Canis lupus familiaris: one gene and its partners. The protein of the gene in region 3 purifies or fractionates together with the protein of the main gene of each other region. This does not show direct contact. Links are inferred from orthologs where the notes say so. Each region holds a gene or a part of one and is shown on either strand. Other genes may lie near its edges.

Region 1 (3,656 bases), on a different chromosome or scaffold from region 3:
CCACTCTCTGCTAATTTGACATAGCCAGTAGGTGGGGGGAAACTAGGCATTTCCATAGACACTTTGCTCCTTGCCATTTTTACATGCTTATTTAAGTCTCTTATAAATTTCAAACATGTCAAGATGAAAAAAAAAAAACAAAAAACAAGATGAGAATTCACACATAAGAGCTTCTTTTCTCCATTCACCGCAGGCCATTGTCTGCAGTAATGAGATGCTTGTAAAGACAGGCAGGACAAGGATGTGTGCATGCGAGCAGAGAGAGGAGGAGATTTCAAAGTGCAAAGTAAACATTCCATGGTGGGAAGGGCCTTTCTAGGGTTCACTTGGCAAGGCTTCAGGGATTAGTGAGATGGTTAAAAAACTAGTCAGTAATGTGAGCCTCAGGGAGGTAATGCTCATTTAACAGCTCTTCAAAAATGTGTGCCAGCAATTCCCATCCAGGACTTTTTGTGAGACTACCAAAAGGAAGAGCCATTGTCTTCTTCTTTTTTTTTTTTTAAGATTTTATTTATTTATTTGATAGCACACAAGCAGGGAAAGTAGCAGAGAGACAGAGAAGCAGGCTCCCCACTGAGCAGAGAGACCGATAACGTGGGACTTGATCCCAAGACCCTGGCATCATGACCTGAGCCGAAGGCACACACTTAACTGACTGAGTCACCCAGGTGCCCCAAACCACTATCTTTCTGACCATGTTTCTCTAATGCCTTTATTAAATGCAGAATTACCTGGACAACTTTTGGCCTGACTTAAAGGCCGCCCATGAGCTTTGTGACTCCATCCTTCAGTCTCGACGGGAGAGAGAGAATGAGAGTCAGGAGAGCCACGGGAAGGAGTACGCAGAACATCTTCCCCTGGAAGTGTTAGAAGCTGGCATTAAATCGGGACGCTACATCCAGGTGAGGGTTGTCCTGAAGCATCAGCGTTGGGACCAGCCCGCATGTTTTCTTCTCTGCTTTATTGGCCATCACAGGCCTTTAATTTCAAAAGCTGTAAATAAAATGGGCATGAGTAAGCCAGGGCTGTCAGTGTTTCAGATGATTTGAGAGTCTTTCTTCCTACGTGCTTATTTAATTATGGACACCTTGCTGCCTGGTTTGATGCTACTCTGTAATCTTCTTAATCAGGTTATATATTGAGCACCACACAAGCCTTCTAATGCCTCCAGTCTCTGGGAAAGAGACTATATTTTGAATCAAGGTATTTGCCTTTGACAAAATTGTGAAATTGGTGAAATTTGGCTTCTTGGCTCCTTTGCAGTGTCTCTGCCTCTTTCTTTCTTTCTTTCTTTTCTTTCTTTTCTTTCTTTTCTTTCTTTCTTTCTTTTCTTTCTTTTCTTTCTTTTCTTTCTTTTCTTTCTTTTCTTTCTTTCTTTCTTTCTTTCTTCATGAGAGACACAAGAGAGAGAGATGCAGTGTCTCTGCCTCTTTCAAGGGGGTCATTTGTAGTCCTCCAGGACCCAGAACCCAGAAGCTGTTAAGCTGTGTTGATAAGGAATCAGATTATTTATCAGATTTCAACAGCTTTACGTGTGTGTCTGTGTGTGTACAGTTTTATCACATCAGTAGATTTGTGTATCCACCACCACTATTGAGATACAGCACTGTTCCATCATGAATTTTACATTTTGACAAGCAGCTCAGACAGTTTTCATGCAAGCCAAACATTGAGAATAGCATGCCAAAGTCCCTCCTAAAGTGTGGGTATTATTATTATTATTATTAATTTTATTTATTTATTATTTATTTAGAGAGCAAGGGAGTAGGGGTTAGGGAGGGATAGGTAGAGAGAGAGAACCTTAAGCAGGCTGCATACCCAGCATGAAATCAAGAGTCGGATATTTAACCAACTGAGCCACCTAGGTGCCCCTAAAGTATGGGCATCTTAAATGAGTATGCCTAGAGACTCTGATGCTTCCAACTCGGTAGTAAAGTTTACAGCATTCCTGGGAGGATATTTTGAGGAAAAAGATTTTTTGAGGACCACTCATCACTTCAGTAAAATATCCTTTATTGGTATAGCCAAGAATAGTTCAAAATGATGGTGTGTTCTCTGGAGAAAAGAGACCTTGGTGATGAGTATTTTTCCTAAAGGAAGGGATCACAGACCTTAAAAGAATATTTTGGGGTTATTTTCATATACTTTTTGAAAACTGTACCTTTGGAGGCAAAGTGGGCAGTAAAGAAATTTTTCTATTGATTTTTATTATGATTGTAGGGAATCCTGAATGTCAACAAACACAGGGCGCAGATAGAAGCTTTCGTTCGACTTCAAGGAGCCAGCTGCAAAGATTCAGGTTCAGTATAAGCCTTACGTAAACTTCTGTACTACATCTTTATTCTGATATTACACGGTGAAGAAAGCAAAGCTGACCCTGCCGTCATGTATGCCATGTCAGGTATCCCCACTCTGGGTGTGTGGGGTCACAGATTGGTGTTTTTTCCCCCTCGAAGTTTATAGTTTCTGATTTTATTGCAATCAGTTTTTAAAGATGAGAACAGCTACATTTTATTGAGTACCTGCTGTATACGCATCAGGTACCTTTCTAAGCACTTAACGTGGATACTATCATTATTTTGCACCTTTTATCCATGAAGATACACAAGGTTACACATGAGGAAACTGTAATACAGGGAAACAAAGTCACTTGCCCGAGCTCACACACCTGGTGAGTGGTGGGGCTAGATCTGCTGCTGAGGCAGTTTGGCTGTGATTTTAAGACACTGCCCTTTGTGGTCTTGCTGGAATAATTGTAAAAGTGATAAAAATGAAGAAGATGTGGAAGTAAGTTGTATCATAATAGAATATAGTTCTGAGGGCCTCGATGGCAGGGTGGAAAACACCCAGTGGCTCTCCGGCTGCTGCTCGTGAGCTGGCTGTGTCCGTGGTTCCTCGGCCTGCCGACCGCTCCCTGGCTGCGTGGCCTCCTGGAACGCTGTGGGCTCACATAGCCTCACGCAGGGGCCTATTACCTACCGTGAGAGACGGGTGAGGTAGGCCTTATAAAAGCACCTGACGAGGGATCCCTGGGTGGCGCAGCGGTTTGGCGCCTGCCTTTGGCCCAGGGCGCGATCCTGGAGACCCGGGATCGAATCCCACGTCGGGCTCCCGGTGCATGGAGCCTGCTTCTCCCTCTGCCTGTGTCTCTGCCTCTCTCTCTCTCTCTGTGACTATAATTAATAAATAAATAAATGAATAAATAAATGCATGCATGCACCTGACGTCATAGGACACGGTGACAGCGTTTCCTCATTCCTAACCTGTGGAATGAGGTTTGGCTTCACCTTTGAAGGGGGAGGAAGCTTTTATTTGCAGGGACGCTGATGAGACGTCAGATTCATGATGTGTGGCATCCCCCGTGGCTTTATGGGGTCTCTGTGTGCCCGCCCAAACACAGGTTTAGTCAGTGACATCCTCATCCACGGGATGAAGGCTCGAAACCGCTCCATTCACGGCGACGTGGTAGTCGTGGAACTGCTCCCTAAAAATGAATGGAAGGGAAGAACCGCCGCCCTGTGTGAGAATGACAGCGATGACAAGGCCTCGGGAGACCCCCCGAGTGAGCCCATGCCCACAGGTGAGCCTGCCAGCCGGCCTCCCAACTCACCAGTGCGCCCGTGGGACGTGCCCCAGCCCTCTCTGTGACGACCCAG
Region 2 (3,198 bases), about 6.5 Mb from region 3:
TTGCTCACGTTACATTTCTGCCCTGAGCCCTCCCTACATACCAGCACCATGTCTAAAACCACTACCCCAGGATTGCTATTTATCATGACAATGCTCGTGTCTGTAGATAAGAGTTCTTTTAGGCCTCTCTGCTGCAGAGAATAAAAGGACTATGTGCAATACTCAATGATGCTATGTGATCTCTTAACCCCCCACCTCTCATAGGAGCCCCCTGTGTAATAGCCTATGGCCCCAACTGGCTTCTGGTTGTGGTCCTCATCGAGTCCAGCTCAACTCCTGAACTTTGGGAATGGCCTCTGGATTACCTGAAGACATTGGTGAAGGTGGCCCATAGGATGGGGAGTTGAGTGGGTGAGATGGAGAGAGTCATTAGTCATTCAATAGAAGATGGGCCATGGGGTTACTGGAAGCACTTTATAGGAGAAGCTCTCCCATTCTTAGGCCTGTGTCCCTCTTCCTCTCCTTTTTGATGTTGAGCAGTCAGGTGTGAGATCAGAGGTGTTCTTAGGGTGCATTAGGTGACTACCCCTTTCCCTTTGACCCATCATTGCTGGTTCCCTGACCCAAAGATGGATAGGATCGATCGGGACCTGCCCTGGTCCCGAATCCCTTCACTCAAGTCTGAAGACAGCTGGGTTTGGAAACTGTTCGCTGGGGAGGTTAAAGGTTCTGCTTGTTTGTGCTAGCTCTGGCTGATTTCGTGTTCCCTGGGTACAACAGTTGGCAGTGGGGCCCAGGTTAACTAGTCCCGCTGACAAGGAAGGAGGCGAGCAGCAGCAGAGGCTACCTGCTCTGGTCACCAGCCTGGGGGTGAGGGCCCGTCCTCGCCGGGAGTGAGAAGCAGCAGGGGGACATGGTTCAGCAAGACGTGCCAGGTGAGGACTCCTAGGGGTACGGAGTGTACACAATCCAGTGCAGGAGAGAGAATGTTCCATTCAACAAGCGTTACTCCTGCCAGGGCACTGAGGAATGACCATGTCTTGGGCAAGACGGGAACACGTAGGAGATGGTCACACGTGTAAGTGCAAAATAATTTCAACCTTTACAAGTGAAAGGACGCAGATGTGCGCCCTGGGGTTGCGCTGGCCCGAGAGGCTAGCGTTCAGGCAGGCCGGCCCGGTCCCCCCGTCGGCCCACCCCCTCGGCCAGGGACCTCCCGGCGGCCCCGCGGCGGCCCCGCGGCTCGGCTGTGGTTCCTCCGGGACGGCAGGGGGCGGGGCGGCGCCGGCCGCCGCTATCCCGACAGCCCTCGCGCGGGCGCGCGGCTTTAAGCGGGCGGAAGCGCCGGCGCCGGGGCCGAGGGGACGGGCGGAAGCGGCTCGCACGCCAGGCGCCGCCATGCCCGGGGACCACCGCCGAATCCGCGGGCCCGAGGAGTCGCAGCCGCCGCAGCTGTACGCGGCCGACGAGGACGAGGCGCCCGCGGCCCGCGACCCGACGCGGCTGCGGCCCGTGTACGCGCGCGCCGGGCTCCTGAGCCAAGCCAAGGGCTCGGCCTACCTGGAGGCGGGCGGCACCAAGGTGCTGTGCGCCGTGTCCGGCCCGCGCCAGGCTGAGGGCAGCGAGCGCGGCGGCGGCCCGGCCGGAGCGGGCGGCGAGGCCCCGGCCGCGCTGCGCGGCCGCCTGCTCTGCGACTTCCGCCGCGCGCCCTTCGCCGGCCGCCGGCGCCGCGCGCCCCCGGGCGGCGGGGAGGAGCGCGAGCTGGCGCTGGCCCTGCAGGAGGCGCTCGAGCCGGCGGTGCGCCTGGGCCGCTACCCGCGCGCGCAGCTCGAGGTGTCGGCGCTGCTGCTCGAGGACGGCGGCTCGGCGCTGGCCGCCGCGCTCACGGCCGCCGCGCTCGCCCTGGCCGACGCGGGGGTCGAGATGTACGACCTGGTGGTGGGCTGCGGCCTGAGCCGCACGCCGGAACCCGCGCCCACCTGGCTGCTGGACCCCACGCGCCTCGAGGAGGAGCGCGCCGCCGCCGGCCTCACCGTGGCGCTCATGCCGGTGCTCAACCAGGTGGCCGGGCTGCTGGGCAGCGGGGAGGGCGGCCCGCCCGAGAGCTGGGCCGAGGCGGTGCGTCTGGGCCTGGAGGGCTGCCAGCGCCTCTACCCCGTGCTGCAGCAGTGCCTGGTGCGGGCGGCCCGTCGGAGGGGCGCCGCCGCGCCGTCCTGAGCCGGGAGCCCGAGCGACCACGGACGCCGAGGACCGAGCTGCCCCCGTCCCCCGAAGGACCCTTGCCGTCCGCTGCCAGACTGCGCGGCGCGGAGAACTCCGGGCGGGAGAGGATCCGACGGGGCGTGCACAGCGCCGGACGGCTGTGTTGGGACGGCTCTTGAGAGACTTCTGTTAAAGAAACGTTTCTACTTGAGCAGGTGCTTCCCAGCTACGACCCAGGTGAAGAAACTTGCGAATGCAGCTTGCCTCCCAGGTTGGGAAGGACTTCAGCTGGACTCATCTGGAGGACGGGACTTGGAACTGTTGTAAGGGATGGACCCTGTGCAGGCCAGCTAGTGACTCCCTTCTATAGACTTGGGCTGCTTTTGAGAGAATGGACAAGGGGGCTGTGCCTTCTCATTTACATCTGAGCTAAAACAAACTCCTTTATATCTGGAAAAGTCTATCGTGGTTCATCTCGGTAGTGAATTTAAAAGAACAAGGTTCTTTTGTGCCCTGTAGTCGACTCCTGGTGTCAAGGGGTTGGGGACAGCATTGTCTTAAATGTGTCCTGTTCCTTAGACCAACATAAGCAGAAAAGACTGGCTGAAACTAAAGGAGGTGCAGGAGTTGGTGTGGGGAAATGTGCTTTGAAGGAGGTGAAGGTGCCCCTAGAGTAGCAGAGTTGGCCATTGCCAAGGTGACAACAGTAGGGAAGGTTGTGTGGGCCCAGGAGCACTCTGGGTGTACTCTGTGGCCTCTGGTTTGGTGCTGGGCAAGACCACAGCTCAGGTTTGGGTAGGTGGAAGGGGTTTGGCTCTGGGTGGAAGCTAGAGGCCTCCCCCACTGCTGCTAAGAAGTAGGGGTCCAGGCTGCCTTTTTTTTTTTTTTTTTTTTAATTTAGAGGCATGCAAGGGGGTTGACAGTGGGGAAGAAGAGAGAAAATTCCACACAGACTCCATGTTGAGCGCAGAGCCTGATGCTGGGCTTGATCTCATGATCCTGAGATCATGACCTGAGCCAAAATCAGAATCTGATGCCTAACCGACTGAGCCCAGG
Region 3 (4,313 bases):
TAGCTGGTATACAAGAAGAGTTCAATAAAGGTTCTCTGAATGTAACTCCAGACTTATTTTCCCAGACTCTCTTTCTTGGATGGTTCTCTTTAAACTCAGATGCTTTGGGGGCACCTGGGTGGCTCAGTGGTTAAGCATCTGCCTTTGGAGGTTGTGATCCCGGGGTTCTGGGATTGAGTCCCACATCCGGCTCCCCACAGGGAGCCTGCTTCTCCCTCTGCCTATGTCTCTGCCTCTCTGTGTGTGTCTCATGAATAAATAAATAAAATCTTAAAAAAAAAAAAAAAAAAAGCTTAGTGATTTGACTTTACTCACAAGTGAGAGCCTACAGCAGGCATCACAAATTACAATTCTGGGCTAGATAACAATTCTTGTAAATAAAGTTTTATTGGAACAAAGATCTGTTCATTTGGTTCTGAGCTACAATGGCAGGGGTGAGTAGGTACAATACTAACTGGCCCACAAGCCTGAAGTATTTATTATCTGTCCTCTTAGAGAAAAAGTTTACCAACTCCTATCTTAAGAGCCCAAAGGAGCTAACATCACAAATAAGCGCCCTCTTTACAATCATTTCATCATGCTGACAGGAATACCACCTATATCTTTCACTTTCTACTCCCATCAGGATCACCTTCCAGTCCCTAACAGGTGACCAAGTCGGAGGATTTCAGGTACACTTCAAAACAAATGTATTAGTATTAAATCCTCTACTCTCTTCATTCTTGCTCTACACTGAACTCTGGCTGAACAGTTACACTGGATACAGCAACCTAATGCAGCTGTTCCATTCATTCTCATGGGACACTCCACTCTATCTGTATGTATGGTATCTCTTGCTATCCTACCAATAAGTTCTTTATTATAACTGAAGCTGCTGACCCAACTAGAAAATCTGTGTCATAGTCCCCCCCTCTCCTTTGCTTCCAAGTCCTGTTGAGTCTTCTCCAACCACTGGGGTAGGAGTTGATACTTTTTTTATGGTATTTTCTTCCTTTCTAACTCTTGAGTCAGCTCTTTGGTCAGAGGTGTAATCACTCAGGACATCTTCAGTTGATGTGCCTGCTTTGCCAATCCACTCTACCTCTCGGATTGCAAACTCAGAGTCAGAAGAAGCCTCTGTGGGGTAAAAATGCAAATTTTGCTATTAATATGTAGGAAAAAAGAACTTTAGAAACTATAAATTATGATTTACCCTCCACCCTCACTCACCCTATTCATCCCTAGTTACACCCTCGCTGAACTCCAAATCTGGCACATGCAACATGTACTCTCCAATCTTTCAAAACATTATTTATGCCTTGCTTCCTTTTTTTTCTGGAAATTATTCTCTAAACACGACATCTTACACTGTGCTGACAGCGACAAGCAGTTAAGAGCAGGGGCTTTGGAGCAAGACTGCCTGAGTTTGGTTCTGTCTATACAACTTGTTAGCTGTGTAACTTCAGGCAAGTTAGCTACTTCTCTTTCGGGGCTTCAGCTGTAGGAGAGCAGTAATAACTGCATCTACCTCGCAGAGTCACTACATGGATTCTACGGGCGGCTATAGGCAAAGCACGTAGAACAGCTGTCTGGCACATAGCAGAAACTATAAATGTTTACTATTATTATTCAAGCTTTTAAGGCCTGGTTGTTTCCCCTGTTTTAATCCTATATTCCTTTTACGTGCCCTTGCCTTTTTGTTTTTCCACTTTGAAATTATTTGTTAAATGAGTTCAATTTTGGGGCGCCTGGGGGGGGTTCAGCGGTTGAGCTTCTTGCCTTTGGCTCAGGTCAGGATTCCAGGGGTCCTGGGACCGAGTCCCGCATCCGGCTCCCTGCAGGGATCCTGCTTCTCTTTCTCTCTCTGTGTCTCATGAATAAATAAAATCTTAAAAAAAAAAATGGATTCAATTTCGAATTTAAATAATCAATTTTGCTGAAAGTCGAAGATATTCACCTCAACTGTTCTAATTCTGTTCCCATTGCCATTGCGACCAGATCAAAACTTCTAGCTCGTTTTTGTTTTTTTTCCCCCACCAGGGCATTCTCCATAGGGCAGCTAAGGGAACTTTGAAAAGTAAGCACAGCTAAGATGCTCAATAGCTTCTCCGTGTTCACATAGAGAAAAAAATAATAATAATAATTCTTCCTCTGGCCTAAAACTGCTCACCTATGTGGCCACTGGCTGCTGGTTCAGGCCCACTTCTTGCTACTTGCCTTCCAGACACAACGGCTGATCTTTAGTTCTTGGGAATCCCAGCGGCTTTCCCGAGGTTTGCGTCCCAGAGCCGTGCACCCGGTTTTCCCTGGGTCTCCGCGGCCCTGCGCCCCGCCTCCCACCTGCCCTCCCTCTCTCCTCCTCCCCTCCCCCCCCCACCCCCCACCCCCCACCCAAGGGCCTCTCCCGCGGAAGCCAAGTAAGCTCCCGGCGCTCCGGGCACCGCTCAGCGCCGCGGCATCCTACCCGCTGCCGCCGCTCTCCTATCCCGCCGCGGGCTTTAAGAGCGAACCCGCCGGACTCAGAATCCCGTTCCCAGGGCCCGAACCAGACCAAGCGCTAAGTGAATGAATGAATGTCCGAGCTGGAGGCCCTCCGCGGCCGCCCCGGTGCCCCCGCGCGTCTGCAGCCCCGGCCCCGGCCAGGTGTGGAAGCTCAGGTACCCCCGTCGCCCAGCGCGCCTCCCCGCCGTCCCCGCACCTTCATGCGCAGCAGGTTCTTGGACAGTTTCGTCTTGCGCTCGGCCGCCATGTTGGCGCCTGCTCGGGGCCGCGCTCCACCCCCAGCCCCCGCCGCGCACGCGCACGCGCACACGCACACGCACGCCCGCGCACGCGCACTGCCGCGTGCGTCCCGGCGGCGGCGTCTCCCGCAGCTGGCGTCGTCGCACCGCGTGGCTTCGCCCTCGCCTGGGCGCGTCCCGGGAGGCGCTGTCCTCCTCGAGGAGCTGCGGGTGAGGACGCGGCTGTCCGCCAGGGGCGAGGGCGACTGGACGCAGGAGGCAAACGTCTACAGAGGCCTCAGTCGGAGGAGGCCCGAATTTTGCGCCCCGAGAGCGCCGTGGTGAGTGTCGCCGCGCGTCACCGAGGCGGTGGGAGCTGGTGAGACGCTCGCCGCCCGTCCTGGCCACGCCGCGGCTGTGGCGCGTCTGCGTCGCGGACGGCGGGCTTCCCGGGCCGCGCACCACGGTCAGCGCCACAGCCCCTCCTGCGTTGAGGTCACTGAGGCGTGGGGAGGCTGCCGGGCTGGCCCGGGAGCGGTGGGGGGAGGGGAGGCGGGCGGGTGCTGACCCAGGCAGTCTGGGAAACTGTGCACCGTTTGCAGCTGTGCAGGTAGGTCCCTGAGCCTGGATGAGCGTCCCGTGAGACAGCCCAAACCCAACTCGCAGGTGCGAGGCCCGGCAGCCACCTGTGCCAAGGGCTGGGGATGAGTGAGGGAGGGACTGGCGGGGCTAGGTAGGGAGAGATGGAGAGGGGGCCGCGGAGGCAGGCTCACAAAGTCCCCAGAATGCTGAGATGTAAGGAAACCAGACCTACGGGCACAGACCAGACCACCCTGCCCCCGGATATGGGTGGAAAACACACACACACACACACACACACCTGTGACCGGTAAAGAATAACCAGACCCAAAAGGAAGTCATTAAAGATGTTATCAGCAGACTTAAACCAGGACGTCTCAGGGAGGATAAGGCCACAATCTCCCTGGTCAGTTCTCAATAAAAGACTTGTCAGTGGAGGCCCAGTTGGCAACCCCATGAGGACCCCTCTCCTGAGAGTTTCTCTGCATCCTTGCTTAATAAACTTCCACTGCTTTTACTCTCTCTTGTCCGTGAGACTCATTCTTCTGCTCCGGGAGACAAGAACCCAGCTCTTGCTTCAGGGCCGCACGGCCCCCCCGGACGGTGAGGTCCACACCGTTCCCCGGAAAGCACCCGGCCGGCGGGCGGTGCCAGCGGCTTGCCTGTCCCACACAGCTTTCTTTCCTTTCCCTTTTCCTTTCTCTTTCCCTTTCCCTTCTTTTTCTTTTTCTTTTTTTTTAGATTTTATTTATTCATGAAAGAGAGAGAGGCAGAGACACAGGCAGAGGGAGAAGCAGGCTCCATGCAGGGATGAAGAGAGGCTTGTTTTGGCCTCCCATGAATCTGTTAGCGATAACGCAATTTCTCCCCTTCTTGAGGCGGTACCCTAAGATCCAATTAAAGGTTAGCTGTCAGGTGTGTGCAAGCTCTTTGAGGTGCATTTGAACCCTTTGATCTGAGTACAATGCCCTTCTGCCTGTCTATCCCCTTTATAAAATCTGTAGACGTCTGGATTTTGCAGAGAATAACTTTGCA
Region 4 (3,656 bases), on a different chromosome or scaffold from region 3:
TCCTGATATCACTTGAGTTTATGGCAGTCTTCACTCATTGACTGGAACTCTTACGGGCAGCAAAGTAACAAAGCTAGCATTATTTACCAATACCGCTAGAAGGCCAACAACCACTATCTCTTCAAGACTGCTTAGCTAGGGTAGTGCATCATAATTATCTGGGAGGGAAAAAAAACCTTCGTAGGTAATTTTGAAGTTCATCTAACAGACTGAGAATCACTATTCCAAGGCACAGAAACAATATCCTCCTTGTCTCTAGAACCAGTTGTAGATTAGCATGTATACTCACTAAACATCACTGGGCACAATTGTTCAGTCAGCTATGAGAACATTCAAAAATTTTTTTATTGTGCTTTTGCTATATTTTAGTCACAATACCAGGTACTGAAAATTCAAAGACAGAATCCTGCCCTAAAAGCTCAGGCAAGTAGGGGAGACAGGCATATAAATTTACTTGCAATACTAGTATCAATGGTTAATGGAGAAAATCTAACCTGCTCTGCAGTAGATCAGAAAGGGCTATTATCCACCTGTTTCAAATGCTCTTTATGACACTTTATTATAACTTTTATTTACGTATCACCTGTCTTTCCCCAGTAGAATGTAATCTCGACAAGGAAAGGGTTCTATCATGTTCACTGCTTTAACTCCTACTTCCTGGAAAAGTGGTGGGCATAGTAGTTGCTCAATGTATATTTATTGAATGAATGATGTCCCAACAAGCACTCATAATTAATGAGCCATTGTCAATTTGGAGAGCCTCTAATTGCATGCCCAAGGTTCTAGTCAATACTTGGAAAAAGGAGGCACCATGGTGCAAAAGAAAGAATTTGGGTTTTACAGTAAGACAAACCTAGGTTTGAATAATGCTATGCCGCTTGATGTCTATGTGACTTAGAGCAAGTTAGCTAATTTTTCTAAGCCTTAATTTACCTCTCTGTAAAAGACAGAAATGACCAGTACATTTCAGAGTTACTGGGAAGTTCAGAGATAGAGTAAGTTAAAATGGCTAACACTGTAGGGAGAATCAGGTGGTAGCATCTTTCTACAAGGCAACATGGGAAAAATATAACCAGAATTTAAAATGTACACATTCTTTGACCCGGCATTCCACTTCTAGGAATCTTTTGCCACAGAATCCTAGGCAGGCACAAGTATATACAGTATAGGAGTTTTCTCTGCAGCACTGTCTATCAAAGAAAATCTGTAAAGTTTAAAACATCTATCAGGGGACTGCTTAACATAATGCCTGGAATTTAACATACTTGATAGAAGGCAACCAGATCTATAATAACAACAGTAACATGTAACGATATTGGCATGTACTGTAACTTATGCATTTCTTCCTCACAATAACCCTAAGATCATACTATTCCAGACAAGGAAACAGACTTACAAGAAACAAAGTTAACTTGCACTACTATCAATGGCAACATCCTGATTGTTTAGGTATACTGTAATTTGCACAATGTCACCATTGGGAAAAAATGGGCAAAGTGTCTAAGGAATCTCTATTATTTCTTAAAACTGCATGGGGAGCTACAAGGATCCCAATCCAATTTTCTATTAAAAAAAAACAAAAACTAAAAAACCCAACCTAACCTATTCAAGGCTAGCAGCTAGAGGATATGAACCTAGGCAGGTACACTCCAGAGTTTACCTGTAACCACTGTCAATACACATAAAAGATACAGGCTCCTTGAAGAACATCTCAAGAACTGACATCTAGTTCTTTCCTTCCATTCCTTCTGCAGCTTCTCCATGCTTAACCCTCATCTCATCCCTTCCTCATCCTCATCCTCAATGAACACTTGTGTATTCATTCTTGCTTCTATACTTTGCTTCACTGTCTGCCTTGCATATCCTTCATTCCATTTATCTAAGTTCTTCGGTTCCTTTTGCTTCACATCACGGATCCTTCTTGGTCACCTCACATGATAGTGCTCTGTCCCTCTTTTCAATTCAGATTTAAACATTTCTTAGGGTACCCACTAAATCAGTAATACTATGTTCGTTCAACTAATTGCTTTCAAACTACTTGCATGTACCCTGAATCACCATGTGTTATGTAATTCTCACTAAATTGTAATCTGTTTAAATGAGATGTATATAAAGTGCTTCACCTAGTGCCTGGCACATAGAAAGTACTCAGTAAGTGGAAGTGCTTGAAAGTGAACATAAAAAGTATAAAAAAGATTGGAGATTAGGCTTTTCCAGAGAAAGCAAGCACTTGACATGTAAGTTAATGGGTGCAACCAGGCAAACCCCAGCTTTAAATGTCATGATGCTTTTTAGATTCCCTTCCCTACTCAAGACAACAGAAGCCATAAAATCCTTTTAGTAAAAACGTTTTCTTTGTCACAGCAAAAATACGTATCTGTGAGACTGTCAGAAGGATCGGGCTACTTCCAATATTATACAGTTTGTCTGCTGGCGCCTCCAAAAAAATTCATCACTCGAGAATGAAATCCACTGAAAGGTTCATAAGAAAAATGTTCCACCTACAGTATAAGTTGCTGGCAGATTTTTCTAAAGATGGTTGTTAGCCAACCACAGGTGTTTGAATAAAGACAATGGCATCTTGATGTTGGGTTCATACATGTATGTACTCTTAGAAACGGCTTACCCCTCTCCATGGGGTAAAATGTAGGGTAAATCTTCTTAGGTCTGTAAGAATTCAGGCTGTACTCTGGCCACTTTCCGGAATTCTTTAGTGTGGGTCTTAGGGCACTGCATCTCACACCAGCTAATGGGAACCATCTGGACACCTGGAAGGGAAGAGCTAGTGTTGGAGCTGGGACCCCAAATGTTTACTAAGACCCTTCCCTTTTCAGCTGGTTATGACCTGAAGTTTCATCAAACTACCTAGTGAACCTCACCTCATACAGAAAAAGCCTTATGCAGTGAATTCCCCCCTTACAGTTATATAAGGAGAATCATTCTAATCTCAGTAGTAAGTGATTGACACTCATATTGCGCTCTAGATTTAAAACCAGGGTAACAAGAGAAAACAGTGAATTAATCCCAACTGTAGCTCCCAGGGAAAGAGAAGCATGTGGATGTATGGACCTACTCACCCGATTCACTGTGGGCCACCACCACCCCAAGTTCATTCTCAGCAGTGGTCAGGAGGTAGTTCGATTGTGCATCACCCAGAGAGATCTAGTCACACAATACTGGTGAAGGAAAACAATGGGTGATAAGTCTTCCCTCCCATAGCCACTTGAGTTATTTTCTACTTCTATTTCTTGTTTTGACAAAGGACCACAAGACTGCTGGAATAAAGGATACCACTTTGGCCAAGACAATGTCACCAGGGCGGAAACTCTTATAAATCTCAACCTGTAAAGAAAGAACAGGAATGTTAAGTGAAAGCTCTAAATCAAATCTACATGAAACTATTTGCCCCTCTGGTAGAACCAGTGTACTTTTTAACTCCACAGGGTGGAAGTCATCGTTAGTGAAGCCAATCAACAACTTTTATTGCTTTTACATCATATAAATGAAAGATTTTTATTTTTTATTTTTTTAAATGAAAAATTTTTAATTCAATAACCTGGTAACGGATCTTAGATAAAAGTTACTACAGTTGGCTCTGAAAGAATACAAAGTAAATCTGAGGGAATAGCAAAGAATAGACACCTGGCTTCAAAGGC
Region 5 (4,280 bases), on a different chromosome or scaffold from region 3:
AGTCAGTATAATCTCACTGAATTATTACAACACCTTCCTATTTAGTCTCTTGGCTTTTGCCTACCACACTCTCCAACAATCTATTCTTAACATAGCAGCCAAAGTGATACTGTTAAAAAGCTAAATCAGGTCCTGACACCCCTCTGCCCAGAGCATTCCACTGGTTACTTATCCTCTATGCTGTTCCTTCAAGGCAAGACTTACTCTGCATGACATTTGCATCTGCACATGACTAATGTAAGGTCTTCCCACATATTAGGTACATGTAACTGTTTGCTACCTGTCCAAAACCAAAGAAAGCAAACTGGGGACAAACCTTGGGGAATCTTAATATGAGATCAGTCTGTACTTAAAGATATTAGGAAGTCACCACATAGATCCAAAACAAAAATATACCATAATGTACATTCTAGGGCTACTTCCACTCCTATGCTAAGTAGAGTTACATATGATTATGAACTAAGCCAGAAAAACAATGCAATTTATAATTTTTTTGGAACTAGAGGGACATCTGCAGATGCTGCACTAGATTTCTATTACCATAATGACCTCTTTGTACTGCATTATCTTAGAAAATAATGGTGAAAAGTACACACAACAGTCTATCAATAATGTTGCTCCTTTAGCAGACAGTCCGTGTCGATGCCACCTATAATTCTCCTTCAAACTTACAGTAAAATCCCTAAGATTGACTTTTTCCTTTTAAAGGTGCTGACCTCCAAAAAAGCCAAATTTATCCCAAAGTCCAATAACAGAAGATCTAAATCACAAAAGGTCGTTCAAAATTGAGATGAATAACTACATCAAATTACACAATGAATGTACTTCTATTATTAATGCTAGTGTTTACCTCAAAGCGTTTTCAAAATTACAGTTATGAAGCGGCAAAACTACCTTCCAGAACCGGGGAATTTGCTTACTACAATAGTCTCATCTCTAAAATAATAACAGTATATAGGGCTATCGTAAAAGTGAAATGAATAATATTGGTAAAGCTTTTAGAACAGTGCTTGGCTCAATTACCAGTCAGTACATTTGCAGGTAGCAACAGTTTACTAATTTACTAGAGTGAAAAGGATCAAATATCCTGATCCAATGTAGACCATTCAAAACCATATTGTGGGGATCCCTGGGTGGCTCAGCAGTTGGGCGCCTGCCTTTGTCCCAGGGCGTGACCCCTGGGTCCCGGGATCCAGTCCCACCTCCCACCTCCCGCTCCCTGCATGGAGCCTGCTTCTCCCTCTGCCTGTGTCTCTGCCTCTCTCTCTATCATGAATGAATGAATGAATGAATAAATAAATAAATAAACCCATATTGAAAAAAAAAAAAAAAACATATGGAAGGCCCAAGTGCTTGGAATCGGTGGCTGAGACAACTGTAAGGAACCGCTTGAGAGCGTCCTCTGAGTGGGACGCAGACAGCGCCAGCACCTGAAGGCCGCTACAGCATCCCGTGGCACCTTGGGGGAGCCCCGCGATGGAGCCCCGGGATGGAGCCCCGGTATGGAGCCCCTGCGATGGGAGTCCCAGGATGGAGTCCGGTGACAGAGCCCCGGTGATGGAGCCCCGCGATGGAGCCCCGGGATGGAGCCCCCGCGATGGGCGCCCCGCGATGGAGCCCCTGGGATGGAGCCCCGGGACGCAGCCCCCGTGATGGAACCTCGCGATGGGGCCCCGGGATGGAGCCCCGGGATGGGCGTCCCAGAATGGAGCCCCGGGATGCAGCCCCGGGATGGAGTCCGGTGACGGAGCCCCGGTGATGGAGCCCCTGGGATGGAGCCCCGGGATGGGCGCCCCGGGATGCAGCCCCGGGATGGGAGCCCCACGATGGAGCCCCGGGATGGGCGTCCCAGGATGGAGCCCCGGGATGCAGCCCCGGGATGGAGTCCGTGACGGAGCCCCGGTGATGGAGCCCCTGGGATGGAGCCCCGGGATGGGCGCCCCGGGATGCAGCCCCGGGATGGGAGCCCCACGATGGAGCCCCGGAATGGAGCCCCGGGATGGGCGTCCCAGGATGGAGCCCCGGGATGCAGCCCCGGGATGGAGTCCGGTGACGGAGCCCCGGTGATGGAGCCCCCGCGATGGGCGCCCCGCGATGGGGCCCCGGGATGCAGCCCCGCCCGCACGCCCGTTATTCCATCTTTCAACCAAACAGCAGCCGCAAGCGGCTTCCCGAGTCTCAGCAGGAGATGCCTGCCCGACTCCTGGGACCCGGCGTCGTCAGGACACAGGGACTCCCGGCCCGACACAGGATCAGGCCGCCCAGAGCTCGCTGGCGGGGCAGACACCTGCGTCCCGCAGACACGGGGTCGCGGCCAACAGAGGCGCGTTCAAGGCACCTGAACCTCGGCCGAGGCACCTCGACCTCCGGAGGCGTGAAAATACATCAACCAGGTGACCTCGTGGACGTCACGGGCGCGGCGTTCGCTCTGGCCCTGGGGCCCTGACAGCTGTGACGTCACTTCAGGGCTCCTCCCCCTGCCGAGGTGCCCGAGGAGCTGACCAGGGAGAAACGGCAGACAAACCAGCAAACCACCTGCAGGCTGGATGGAGAGTGGGGAGGGGCCCAGGTGAGCCCGGGGAGGGGGCGCCGGTGAGGGGCCCAGGTGAGCGGGGGGGGGGGGGGTGCGGGCGCTCCTGGCGGCCAGCCGGCGTGTGAAAGCCGCGGGGGCTCCCCGAGGGGGCGAACTTGTGCAGAAACACGAGAGAAACTCCCGCCCCAGCTCCGAACGGCCGTACCTCGCGGGCCTCCGGCGCCGGCCTCCGGGAAGAGCAGTCGGGCGGCGGTGACGTCAAAGAGGCGCCGGCGGCGCGGGCGGCGGGGGCGGGGCGGGCGGCGCCGCGTGGTGACGTCAGGCGGCTCGCCCCGCCCCGCGCCGGCTCAGGGGCGCCCCTGCGGGCGGCGGGCGGGGGCTGCGGGGGCTGCGGGGTCAGCGGGGTCAGCGGGGGCGGGGCGGGCCCGGGCAGCAGGAAGCCGCGTGAGCCGCCGGGCCCCGTTCGCGCGCGGTTTGCCCCCGCGGCCTCCGCCTGCACCGCGTCGGGGCCGGGTCTCCGTGGGCCGCAGCCCGCCTTCCGGGGCCGGGAGGGCTCGCGGCTCCGCGCCGACTCCCGCTCGGGCCGCGCGGCGAGGCGAGGACCCCGAGACGAGGCAGAGCGCGGCAGGCGCCCTCGGTCCTTCCTTACCGTGTCCCTGCGCGAAAACTCGGGCTTCGACACGCGCAGTGGGGCTGCGGCGGGAAGCGCTGCTCGCCGGCAGCCACCTGCTGTCCTCGCCTCTCGCTCGGCGCCTTCGCCTGCCTCGGCCTCGGCGTCGGCCTCGGCACCGGGGTCAGCAGGGGTCACCCGGGGTCAGCAGGTGTCACCCAGGGTCAGCAAGCGTCTGCACCCGGGGTCAGCAGGTGTCACCCGGAGTCAGCACGCGTTGGCACCCAGGGTCAGCAGGTGTCAGCGCCCGGGGTCAGCAGGGGTCACCCGGGGTCAGCAGGTGTTACCCGGGGTCAGCAGGTGTCACCCGGAGTCAGCACGCGTTGGCACCCGGGGTCAGCAGGTGTCAGCACCCGGGGTCAGCAGGTGTCAGCACCCGGGGTCAGCAGGTGTCACCCGGGGTCAGCCGCGGTCTGCAAGCACCTGCTTTCTTGTGATGAATTCGTAGGCCGGCAGGTGCCTACCGCCGTTCAGGCCACGTCATCTCATTGCCCGGGCATTTTGCCATTTCGTGGCGCCACCAGAAGGGCCAGCGCAGCCCAGTAGGGTATTTTGAGAGACCGTATTTACATAGCTTTCATTACAATATATTGTTATAAGGGCGCCCGGGTGGCTCGGGTGGCTCGGGTGGCTCAGGGGGTTAAGCATCTGCCTTGGGCTCAGGTCATGATCCCACGGTTATGGGATCAAGCCCCGTATGGTCATGGGATCGAGCCCGCATTGATGGGATTGAGCCCCACATCGATGGGATTGAGCCCCATGTGGTTATGGCATCGAGCCCTGCATCGATGGGATCGAGCCCCGCCTCTATGGGATCGAGCCCTGCATCGGTGGGATTGAGCCCCACGTGGTTATGGGATCGAGCCCCGCATTGGGCTCCCTGCTCAGCGAGGGAACCTGCTTCTCCCTCTCCCTCTGCTACTCCTCGTGCTTCTGCTCTCTTGCTCTCTGTCAATTAAATAAATAAAATCTTTTTTTTAATTTAAAAATATTATAATTGTGCTAATGCTGCTAATCTCTTAGTGTGGCTAGTTTACAGATTGAACTGTTTTTTTCTTTTTAAAGATTTTATTTATT
Region 6 (4,449 bases), on a different chromosome or scaffold from region 3:
CCTCCGCTCGGAGGAGCCCAGCGCGCCTCTAGGCTTCTTGGCCTCGGACGCGTTTTGTCGAATCTGCTATTGGGAAAGAGACGGGTGTGTCTCTTTAGAAAAACGGTATGCTAGCTCAGGAGTTTAAGGGAAAGCCGACCTTATTGCCAGGAATTGAGTGAGTATTAAGTGTGGGGCATTATTCCAGAGCTCCTGCGTCCTTTCCCGCCTCTGTCTCAGGCTGGGCCCTGGGCGTGCCTCACCCCAAGGGAAGGGCTCCCTGGAGCTCCAGTTGCTGAGCAATCACGTAAACTCTGTGCGCGCTGGTGATCGCCCCGCGGTACACTCTGCGGGCCCCCGGAGGGGCTCCTGAGGAGCAGCTTGTGCCGTGGGCTGCGTTTGTTCTCAAAGCCGTCACCTCCCTCCTAGGTAGGTTTGCCAGACGGAATACAGAACATCCAATTAATTTTTAATGTCAGATACACAAGCTAATTTTTCCCCACTATGAGTATACCCCAAATAGTACATGTTATTAGTTGTTACGGGGCGGGGGGCGGGGGCGGCTGGGAGCGAAGAATGTTTTAGAAATAGATAATGGGTGCAGGAAATTGTGAATGTAACCAATACCACCGTATCGTACCCTTAAAATGGTTAAAATGGCAAATTTTATGCTGTCTCCGTTTTTAAAGACTCATGGAATACAATAAAACCTTTTTAATGGGTGGATTGCACGGTGCGTGAGTGCTGTCTTAAGACGGCTGTCGAAAAGCCGCTCACTGCCTACCTGAAATTCCGACTGGGTGGAATCCTGTGTGTGCCTGCGGGTTCTGTCAGCCCTGCGGGGAACCCGGCGCCCGCCTCTGCGCGCGAGCCTGGCCGCCAGGGACGGCGTGTGCGCCGCCTGGCCGCGAGGGGCGCTGTGGGCGGCGGGCGGCGGGCGGGCTCGGCCGCTCTGCCGGCGGGAGGCGGAGCTGCGCGGCGGCGCTTCCGCGTGTGTGTAGGCGCTGGGGAGGGCGCGCGGCAGCCGGGTATGGACGATGATTGCGCTCCTGCTGCAGCTGGCTGTGCTCGGCGTGGCGCTGGCGGCCGCCGCCCTGACGCTGGTGAGCAGAGGGCTGGGGACCGACGCGGGCCTGGGCTCCGTCCTCTCAGAGACTCGGCCGCCACGCAGCCTGTCCTCTGCCCCGCACGCTTCGACGCGTCCCTTTCCCCCCACGCTCTCCCCCGAAACTTGACCAGGATTTCCTCTCCTAGAACTTCACAGCCCCTTTCTTCCCTTCTTTGTCTTTATTTTGGAGCGTTACCTCCCTCTGCGGCCAGGCCCTTGTAACGTTGGTTCCCCGGGGGACGTGCGCCCCCGTCAGCCTCCACCGGCCCCGCCGCCCCCGACCTCTGCCCTGTCAGTCCCGACCTCTCCACCCCTTCCTCCTGCATCTGCAGCCTGTGCAGTTCCGGCTGCACCCGGGAAGGTCTCGAGCCCCCCCAGGAGGTTTGCGCTCCCTGGACTGACCCTCCTGATGCGGGGAAGCAACTAGAAGGTGGTGACAGCTTTGACGAGAGCCATCTGCTAGAGATTGGGGTGAATCAGTGGATCAAGAAGACCCAGGAGGGACACAGTAAGGCCGAGGCACGCAGGCCTGCTGTTACCGTTGTCTGGCAGTCCCTATGACCCGGGATTAAACACCCTAAATTCGCTGCCTCTAAAGGAGGGCACAGTAGAATTGAGACTCGGATTTTCTTTGCCATCACTCTGGAAACAAACATTGTAAGCACTTGCTGATTCATTAGTAATGGTTTGCCAAGTGAGCTTTCTCCCTTATAATTTGGAACGAGCCTGCCATCCAGTTAGTACGTGGAGAGGTTCCAGCTTCCTTGACACCCAGATTAGCCCCCCTGACAGCACTGCTGGGAAGGCCGTTCTTCCGCCTTGCCGGGTTTGCACACTTCACAGTTTAGAAATAACTTATAGAGAAAAAGCAACGTGTCCTGACTTCTTCGGTGATTTGTGTCGGGGTCAGAAAGGAGTCCTCTCTCTCCGTTAGGGGTAGATGGAGATTTCAAGGTTTTCTCAGGTTTTTGGTGGGGGCAGAGTTTTGACAGAATCCTAAATTGACTCTGTTTATTTGATCTATCTGTTTTATAGAATTAAATGGGTGCATTTTGAGGATGAACTGGAAGTATTTGATCCTACCAGCTTGTGATTATAAGAGCTACTATTTAGGGCACCTGGGTGGTTCAGCAGTTGAGCATCTGTCTTGGGCTCAGGTCGTGATCTCGGGGTCCTGGGATCGAGTCCCACATTGGGCTTCCCGCAGGGAGGCAGCTTCTCCCTCTGCTTATGTCTCTCTGCCTTTCTCTTTGTCTCATGAATAAATGAAAATAAAATAATTTTTTAAAAAGCTAACATTTATAGAGGACTTATAATTTGGGGGTATTGTATTCAATGTTTTATGTTGTGCGATCTTTAAAACAATGCTAAATGAATGTTGTCATCATTAGCCAGGGGTTGGAGATTCAGGGCATCTTAAAATGGATTGCACTTCTCTGGTGACTATTCCCTATTAAATCTGGGATGACAGAGGCCTAGGGATGACAGGTGGGAAGACACAGCTCCTAAGGCATTAGTTCCTACCAATGGAAGAAGGACAATTATTAGTTCATAAGTAAGGGATTTGAATTTGGTGTCACCTCCAGACCATTCTTAATGGACTAAAAACTGAGAGTGAACATTTAACAACAACAATAAAAATCACATAAATGATGTAATCTTACATAATATAGTTTCTTGTTAACATACCTACTTTTAGATTTCCTTTGTTGCATTTATAACTGCTACAAAAATGCCACATCTCCATCAACATGAAGAGGAGAAGTTCTTCTTAAATGCCAAAGGACAGAAGGAAACTTTGCCCAGCGTATGGGACTCGCCTACCAAACAGCTCTCCGTTGTTGTGCCTTCATACAATGAAGAAAAACGGTGTAAGCCCAATTTCATTTTTGGGATATGGGGCCATTGGGAAGAAAAGGAAATTTAAAGTATGAACTTTACTATCTTTGTGAGAACATTAGTAGATGTGGGCTCTGATGAGTGCATAGTTGGTAGTTGTAGTTCATGAGAGTGGAAACAAATGCCAGCTATAAAGAATACGGTCAGCATCATGAAGTCATAGGACTGAAGTGTTCTAGAGAGACATTAAGCTAGTTGTGGACAGAAAACAGGCCTTCTAGTTGGGAAGGGCCACTGGAAGAGGTCCGAGAGGGCTCTGTTAGACTATTCAGACTTTTTCCATATGTAAACTGAGTGGGGGCTTGGCAAATCATTTTCGAAAACAATTTTTCAGAGATGTATTTTTTTTTCTTTAAGTGCCTGTAATGATGGATGAAGCTTTGGGCTATCTGGAAAAGAGACAGGTACCATATTTCTCTTTCAATATGATGTCCCTAGTTAAAACTAGACTAAATCACCAATTTAGAGATCCCAGGCTAGATCTGTTGAGAGAGGCAGTGCCAGCCATGCCCAAGCCGTCGAGGTCACCAGGGCCTCCTGTGCTCAGCTTGTCCCCTTCCATCACGGGTTAGCATGCAAGCCCAGCACATGACACGCTACCTCCAGACGCACGCAGGTGGGTGAACCCAGAACAAACGGAAAGCAGAAATTTCTTATGTACCCTCCCAACCACTTTGTATGCTCTTGCCTGATGATATATTTAAAATTAAGTATGTCTGCAGACTGTGTGGCAACACGATGCTGTTTTTACTTTAGTGACTTTTTAAAACATTTATTTGAAAAAGACTTAGAGTGAAATTGTTTTTCTTTATTATTCAGAGGAGTTCCGCTCATTTATTTTCTCTACTTTCCCTGCATAAATAGAAGAAAAATAGTATGTGTCCTTGTTTTGTATCATCAGCTGCTGCTGGAATCTTCTTGGAGAGTTTAAGGAAACAAAATGAGCTTTGTGGCTGGTCCGTTTTTTTTTTTTTTTTTTTTTTTTTTTGGTCTGGCGGGGGTTTTTAAATGAGAAAACAGGCTAAAACTCTAACTCATCCAATATCATAAGTTAGAAATAGTGTGGCCAGATTAGAATTGCACATTCTAACCTCATGGGCTTTTTTTTCTCATACATATTTGTATCCTCTCTCATAAGTGCTCAGCACCACAAGCACCTGGCTACTCCACAGATTCGGTGTGGGTAGGCAGTCAAGGGGGGAGCAAGAGTCGGTGTTTGCCCTCTCCTCCTGTCCCACCACTCTCCTCCTTTTAGTTGTTGGCCTTTTTATTTTATGTGGTTTGCATACTTATTTATATTCATGTTAATATGCATCACACTAAAACAATTGTTATTTAAACTCCTTACAATTTTATCAGAATTCTTGATGCCACTTATGCCAAATTGTGGTGTTTTATTTTTGTTTCTTGCAGAAGCAAGATCCTACGTTCACTTATGAGGTGATAGTAGTTGATGATGGCAG
Region 7 (3,817 bases), on a different chromosome or scaffold from region 3:
ACAGGGGCGCCGGCAGGCTCATTTCTACGGAGGTCAGACCGGCAGTGAGCGCACAAGGGAGCTCAGCGGGAGCCCAGCGCCGAGGGAACCGGGGTCAGATGACCACAGGGAGGAAGGTGCACAGGCTACTCTCGGCCAGAACGGGTCTCAAGACCTGGGGTATGTGGACTAGAAAGTGGGGAATCCTATTCAGATCAGGAGGTGCCCGGGTGAGGGCTCAGGCAGCGCCGCAGATATGTGTGAAGACTCCCCACCCCTCCGCACCACCCCAGGGGAGAACATTTGTTGTGCTTTCCGAGCCTAAGGCTAGGGAGGCCCAAAGGGCTCCCAGGGTGGAGGGGGCCATGCAGTCCAAGCCATAGTCCAGAGGATGTGGGCTGTGGATGTGCTGGTCTGAGAACTGCCTTCGTCTCACAGCTTGGCTCGTTATGCCAGGCCCTGCCTCACTGCTCAGCTGCCTGAACCTTTCCTAGCACGATGGCTGTTCATCCGCAGACAGGCTCCCCGACCTTCCTCTTCAGGGTTTGGGTCTTGAAGCTGGAAAAGGTATGTCATGTGCGGGGGATGGGGACGGTTCCTAGTCACCTCCCAGAGCAAGCACCAGGCCAGGATCTGAGGGTGTGCAAGTGCTGTGGGGAAATTAAAGTATAGCAGATTGTATGTGAGTTTTATTCTGGGCATGGGGGGCCAGATGCTCAGTCCCCCAGCAAAATAGAGGCCTCGCGTACATGCTGCCGAACCACACGGTCCAGCACAGTGTGCACATCACGGGCAGCCCGGGCAGCCGCCTCTAGCACCTGTTCCAGGTGGTCCTCATGTAGCCGAGCATCCATTTCAAGCAGTGCAATCTGGCCTGAGGCCGGCAGCAAGGCCAGGGCCAGCTGGGGGCCACCAGCTGCCTCTTCCACATGGCTGAGGTCCGCCAGGGCTGTGTTGTCCACAAAGCCAGCTGAGCAGGCACACACAAAGTCCCGCATGGGTATTCCCGCATCCAGCACTGCCAGCGTGGCTGCATTCACACAAGCTGCGTAGGTCCCACCATCTGCCTGCAGCACCTGCAAGTACCGCCCAGTGGCATCGGTCCATTAGGCTCTTGTCCCCCGACTCCCATCCTTGCTTCCCCTTCCTTCCCCCTCCCTTCCTGGGTTGATGGCTGCTGCTTGCTCACCTGCACATATATATCTATCTGGGAACGTGGGTGCAGCTGTGTTAGGATGGCTGCCTCAAATGTCTGACGTAGGTGCAGGCCCATCTCGCAAGACTTTCGGTCCCCATGCGGTCGTCGCTTGCGTTCGCCTGTGCTGAAGGTCGCAGAGCTATACTGACAGTTCACCAGGGCCCTGTCTGGCAGGGCTCGAGCCCGGGAGCCCCGGATCTGGGGGAGGAAGGACACATGAGTCAGGCTCACCCCTCCACAGCTGACACTACGCCTTCCCGTCACCCTCCCTCTACTTCCGGCATCTCCATAAGCAAGCAGGAGGACCTCCATCGGAGGGCCAGTTGGCCAGTCTCCAAGTCATCATGTCTGATATTACTTCTCTTAACAGGCCTCCTTGTTTCCATCCCTGCCTCGTCCCCTGCTAACCCATTCTCCATCCGTGGCCAGAGCAGGTGTGTTCACAAATATCCAGGCTCGGGATGCCAGGGTGGCTCAGCAGTTGAGCGTGTCTGCCTTTGGCTCAGGGTGTGACCCCGAGGTCCTGCAGGGAGCCTGCTTCTCCCTCTGCCTGTGTTTCTGCTTCTCTCTATCATGAGTAAATAAATAAAAGCTTAAAAAAAAATATCCCGGTTGATGTCATCTCCTATACACTTTCGCTGCGTCAATGTCCTGACGCCTCCTAAAGCTTCCCCATCACCCGTGAAATCCTAAGTCGTGTCCCTGGCCTACAGCGCGGCGGGTTCCTGCCTCCCTAGAGCCCCCCAAACCTCGTTCCGAGTTGCTCCCCATCTCCGCCGCTGCGAACGCGCCCCGCTACGTGCCCCAGCCATCCTCCCCGCTCCGGCGTGGACGCCAGGCAGTAGCAGCAGGTGGGTTTAGCTACAGTCCCTCCGCTCATGGAGTTGACGCTCCGCTCCCGAGAAGTCGAACGCGGAGCCCACGGGCTTCGGAAAGGCAGGGGAGGGGCTCCCCAGGAGAGGAAGGCGGTCGGGAAGGCGTCCCCGGGAGGACGAGGTCAGGTACCCCCAGCGCCGGGGAACCCAAGCCCCGCCCGCCCCGCCCGCGCGCGCCCACTCGCCTCGTGCGGCCCGTAGACCACCGCCAGCGCCTTGGTGTTGCCTTGCTCGATGTAGGCCGAGCCGTCGGCCTGCGCGAACACGCCCATCCGCGCCTGGATCTTGCGCAGCTCCCCGGCGCGCCGTCCGTCCACCCGGTAGCCCTGGTCCGACAGGAGCTCCAGGCCCGCCATGTCTCCGGCGGCTGGCCGCGCTTGCGACTCCCGCGAAACTACACTTCCCGACGGCTCCGACCCCACTTCCGGCTTTCTGGGGGCCTACGGCTTCCGGCGGTCCGACACCCACTTCCGGCCCGGGGAACTACGGTTTCCCCGGGGGCAGGCGGCGCCCGCGGCCGTTTGGGGAGCTGTCCCACGGCTGCCAGAGGCGGAGACCGGATGCGGGGAGACTCGCCGGCCGCGCCCCCTCGGGCTTGTCGCAGGGCGGTTCTGACGCCCCCGGGCCTCCCGGGGTCACGCCGCACGCGCCTGCGCCGGGTCTCGGGGGGGGGGGGGGGGGCGGGCTCCGGCCTGCGTCCCGCCCCGCCCCCTGCCCCTCCCCCGCCTGCGCTGCCCGCGCCCCCTGACGCCCTACTCAGCGCCCCGCGCGCCCCCCATCCCTCCCCCCGCACCCTCTAGTGCTCCCGTCTGCTCTTCTCCGCTCACGCTAACCGCAGACGGATCGGGAGCACACGCGGTTGTACAGCCGCGTGGCATTGGGAACTCCGGTTATTTTAATGAGAGCATTTTATACACTTTAATGGTTTTCACTCAAAAAAGACCTTGAGAAATCTGCCCCAATAACCCTGGGGAACGCCCACTAGTTTCCGGTTGGCCGCTCGGCGCCCGCGGAGTGGACGCGCCCAGATGCTCCCCCGCTGCTGCCCGGGTGCGGGGGCGAGGGCGCGCGGGGCCGGGCTAGAACCCCGCGGGATTCCGAGGAGTGGCCGTCGCGGGCGTCCTACCCCGTCCTGACTCGTGTTCCGACACCTCCTGGCGGCCCAGCGCCGTGGAACCGCCCCCGACCAAACCCCCCCCCCCGCCCGCCTCCCCGTCCCCGTCCCCGTCCTCGTCCCGGTCCCCGTCGTCCCCCTACCCCCACTCGGTCCCCGTCCTCGTTCCGGTCCACGTCCCCCGCCCCTCCGTCCCCGTCCCTGTCGCTCCCCTCCCCCCGACCCGTCCCCGTCCCCGTCCCCCCCCACCCCGTCTACGTCCTGTCCCCGTCCCCATCCCAGTCTCCATCCCCTTCCCCGTCCCGGTCCGCCCGGACAGGATGCTCATGCCCCGCACCAGCTGCCTTATTTGGCCGCTCTGCTGAGCCCGGGCTTCAAGGGCGAATGTGGGAAGCGGAGCCAAAGGGCTGAGCGTCGGGGAGGTGCCGCCCGGGGCCTGGGGATGTGCACAGGCTGTGTGCCCCCCCTTTCCCGCCAGCTCCCACTGTGCAATAAAACGGGTGAATCGGGATCCCTGGGTGGCGCAGCGGTTTGGCGCCTGCCTTTGGCTCAGGGCGCGATCCTGGAGACCCGGGATCGAATCCCACGTCGGGCTCCCAGTGCATGGAGCCTGCTTCTCTCTCTGCCTGTGTCTCTGCCTCTCTCTCTCTC

The links.
Region 1: the proteins of MPHOSPH6 (region 3) and DIS3L purify together in Homo sapiens (affinity purification with mass spectrometry; 3 studies listed by BioGRID and IntAct, with this or other methods). This does not show direct contact. The link is inferred for Canis lupus familiaris from reciprocal best matches to the Homo sapiens genes MPHOSPH6 and DIS3L.
Region 2: the proteins of MPHOSPH6 (region 3) and EXOSC6 purify together in Homo sapiens (affinity purification with mass spectrometry; 3 studies listed by BioGRID and IntAct, with this or other methods). This does not show direct contact. The link is inferred for Canis lupus familiaris from reciprocal best matches to the Homo sapiens genes MPHOSPH6 and EXOSC6.
Region 4: the proteins of MPHOSPH6 (region 3) and EXOSC1 purify together in Homo sapiens (affinity purification with mass spectrometry; 5 studies listed by BioGRID and IntAct, counting the BioPlex papers as one, with this or other methods). This does not show direct contact. The link is inferred for Canis lupus familiaris from reciprocal best matches to the Homo sapiens genes MPHOSPH6 and EXOSC1.
Region 5: the proteins of MPHOSPH6 (region 3) and C1D purify together in Homo sapiens (co-immunoprecipitation; 3 studies listed by BioGRID and IntAct, counting the BioPlex papers as one, with this or other methods). This does not show direct contact. The link is inferred for Canis lupus familiaris from reciprocal best matches to the Homo sapiens genes MPHOSPH6 and C1D.
Region 6: the proteins of MPHOSPH6 (region 3) and EXOSC8 purify together in Homo sapiens (affinity purification with mass spectrometry; 4 studies listed by BioGRID and IntAct, counting the BioPlex papers as one, with this or other methods). This does not show direct contact. The link is inferred for Canis lupus familiaris from reciprocal best matches to the Homo sapiens genes MPHOSPH6 and EXOSC8.
Region 7: the proteins of MPHOSPH6 (region 3) and EXOSC4 purify together in Homo sapiens (affinity purification with mass spectrometry; 7 studies listed by BioGRID and IntAct, with this or other methods). This does not show direct contact. The link is inferred for Canis lupus familiaris from reciprocal best matches to the Homo sapiens genes MPHOSPH6 and EXOSC4.

What each region holds. Positions count from the first base shown.
Region 1 is NC_049251.1:31,052,604-31,056,259, forward strand, and holds part of DIS3L (DIS3-like exonuclease 1), read left to right. Parts: intron 1-725; coding exon 726-902; intron 903-2,220; coding exon 2,221-2,299; intron 2,300-3,400; coding exon 3,401-3,580; intron 3,581-3,656. UniProt on the Homo sapiens protein: Catalytic component of the RNA exosome complex which has 3'->5' exoribonuclease activity and participates in a multitude of cellular RNA processing and degradation events.
Region 2 is NC_049226.1:76,859,499-76,862,696, reverse strand, and holds EXOSC6 (exosome complex component MTR3), read left to right. Parts: upstream 1-1,338; coding exon 1,339-2,157; 3' UTR 2,158-2,651; downstream 2,652-3,198. UniProt on the Homo sapiens protein: Non-catalytic component of the RNA exosome complex which has 3'->5' exoribonuclease activity and participates in a multitude of cellular RNA processing and degradation events.
Region 3 is NC_049226.1:70,386,632-70,390,944, reverse strand, and holds the start of MPHOSPH6 (M-phase phosphoprotein 6), read right to left. Parts: upstream 2,810-4,313; 5' UTR 2,729-2,809; coding exon 2,678-2,728; intron 2,298-2,677; exon of another isoform or gene 2,150-2,297; intron 1-2,149. UniProt on the Homo sapiens protein: RNA-binding protein that associates with the RNA exosome complex. Involved in the 3'-processing of the 7S pre-RNA to the mature 5.8S rRNA and play a role in recruiting the RNA exosome complex to pre-rRNA; this function may include C1D.
Region 4 is NC_049249.1:10,912,961-10,916,616, forward strand, and holds the end of EXOSC1 (exosome complex component CSL4), read right to left. Parts: intron 3,343-3,656; coding exon 3,292-3,342; intron 3,163-3,291; coding exon 3,078-3,162; intron 2,769-3,077; coding exon 2,662-2,768; 3' UTR 324-2,661; downstream 1-323. UniProt on the Homo sapiens protein: Non-catalytic component of the RNA exosome complex which has 3'->5' exoribonuclease activity and participates in a multitude of cellular RNA processing and degradation events.
Region 5 is NC_049231.1:68,473,349-68,477,628, forward strand, and holds the start of C1D (nuclear nucleic acid-binding protein C1D), read right to left. Parts: upstream 2,835-4,280; 5' UTR 2,739-2,834; intron 2,570-2,738; exon of another isoform or gene 2,428-2,569; intron 1-2,427. UniProt on the Homo sapiens protein: Plays a role in the recruitment of the RNA exosome complex to pre-rRNA to mediate the 3'-5' end processing of the 5.8S rRNA; this function may include MPHOSPH6.
Region 6 is NC_049246.1:3,769,856-3,774,304, forward strand, and holds the start of EXOSC8 (exosome complex component RRP43), read right to left. Parts: upstream 2,803-4,449; coding exon 2,777-2,802; intron 1,745-2,776; exon of another isoform or gene 1,221-1,744; intron 1,083-1,220; coding exon of another isoform or gene 1,010-1,082; exon of another isoform or gene 942-1,009; intron 409-941; exon of another isoform or gene 1-408. Other genes in the region: ALG5 (dolichyl-phosphate beta-glucosyltransferase), read left to right, coding at 1,017-1,082, 2,787-2,958, 3,344-3,390, 4,400-4,449. UniProt on the Homo sapiens protein: Non-catalytic component of the RNA exosome complex which has 3'->5' exoribonuclease activity and participates in a multitude of cellular RNA processing and degradation events.
Region 7 is NC_049234.1:38,326,279-38,330,095, reverse strand, and holds EXOSC4 (exosome complex component RRP41), read right to left. Parts: upstream 2,632-3,817; 5' UTR 2,409-2,631; coding exon 2,238-2,408; intron 2,178-2,237; exon of another isoform or gene 1,990-2,177; coding exon of another isoform or gene 1,927-1,989; exon of another isoform or gene 1,548-1,926; intron 1,376-1,547; coding exon 1,169-1,375; intron 1,056-1,168; coding exon 696-1,055; 3' UTR 654-695; downstream 1-653. UniProt on the Homo sapiens protein: Non-catalytic component of the RNA exosome complex which has 3'->5' exoribonuclease activity and participates in a multitude of cellular RNA processing and degradation events.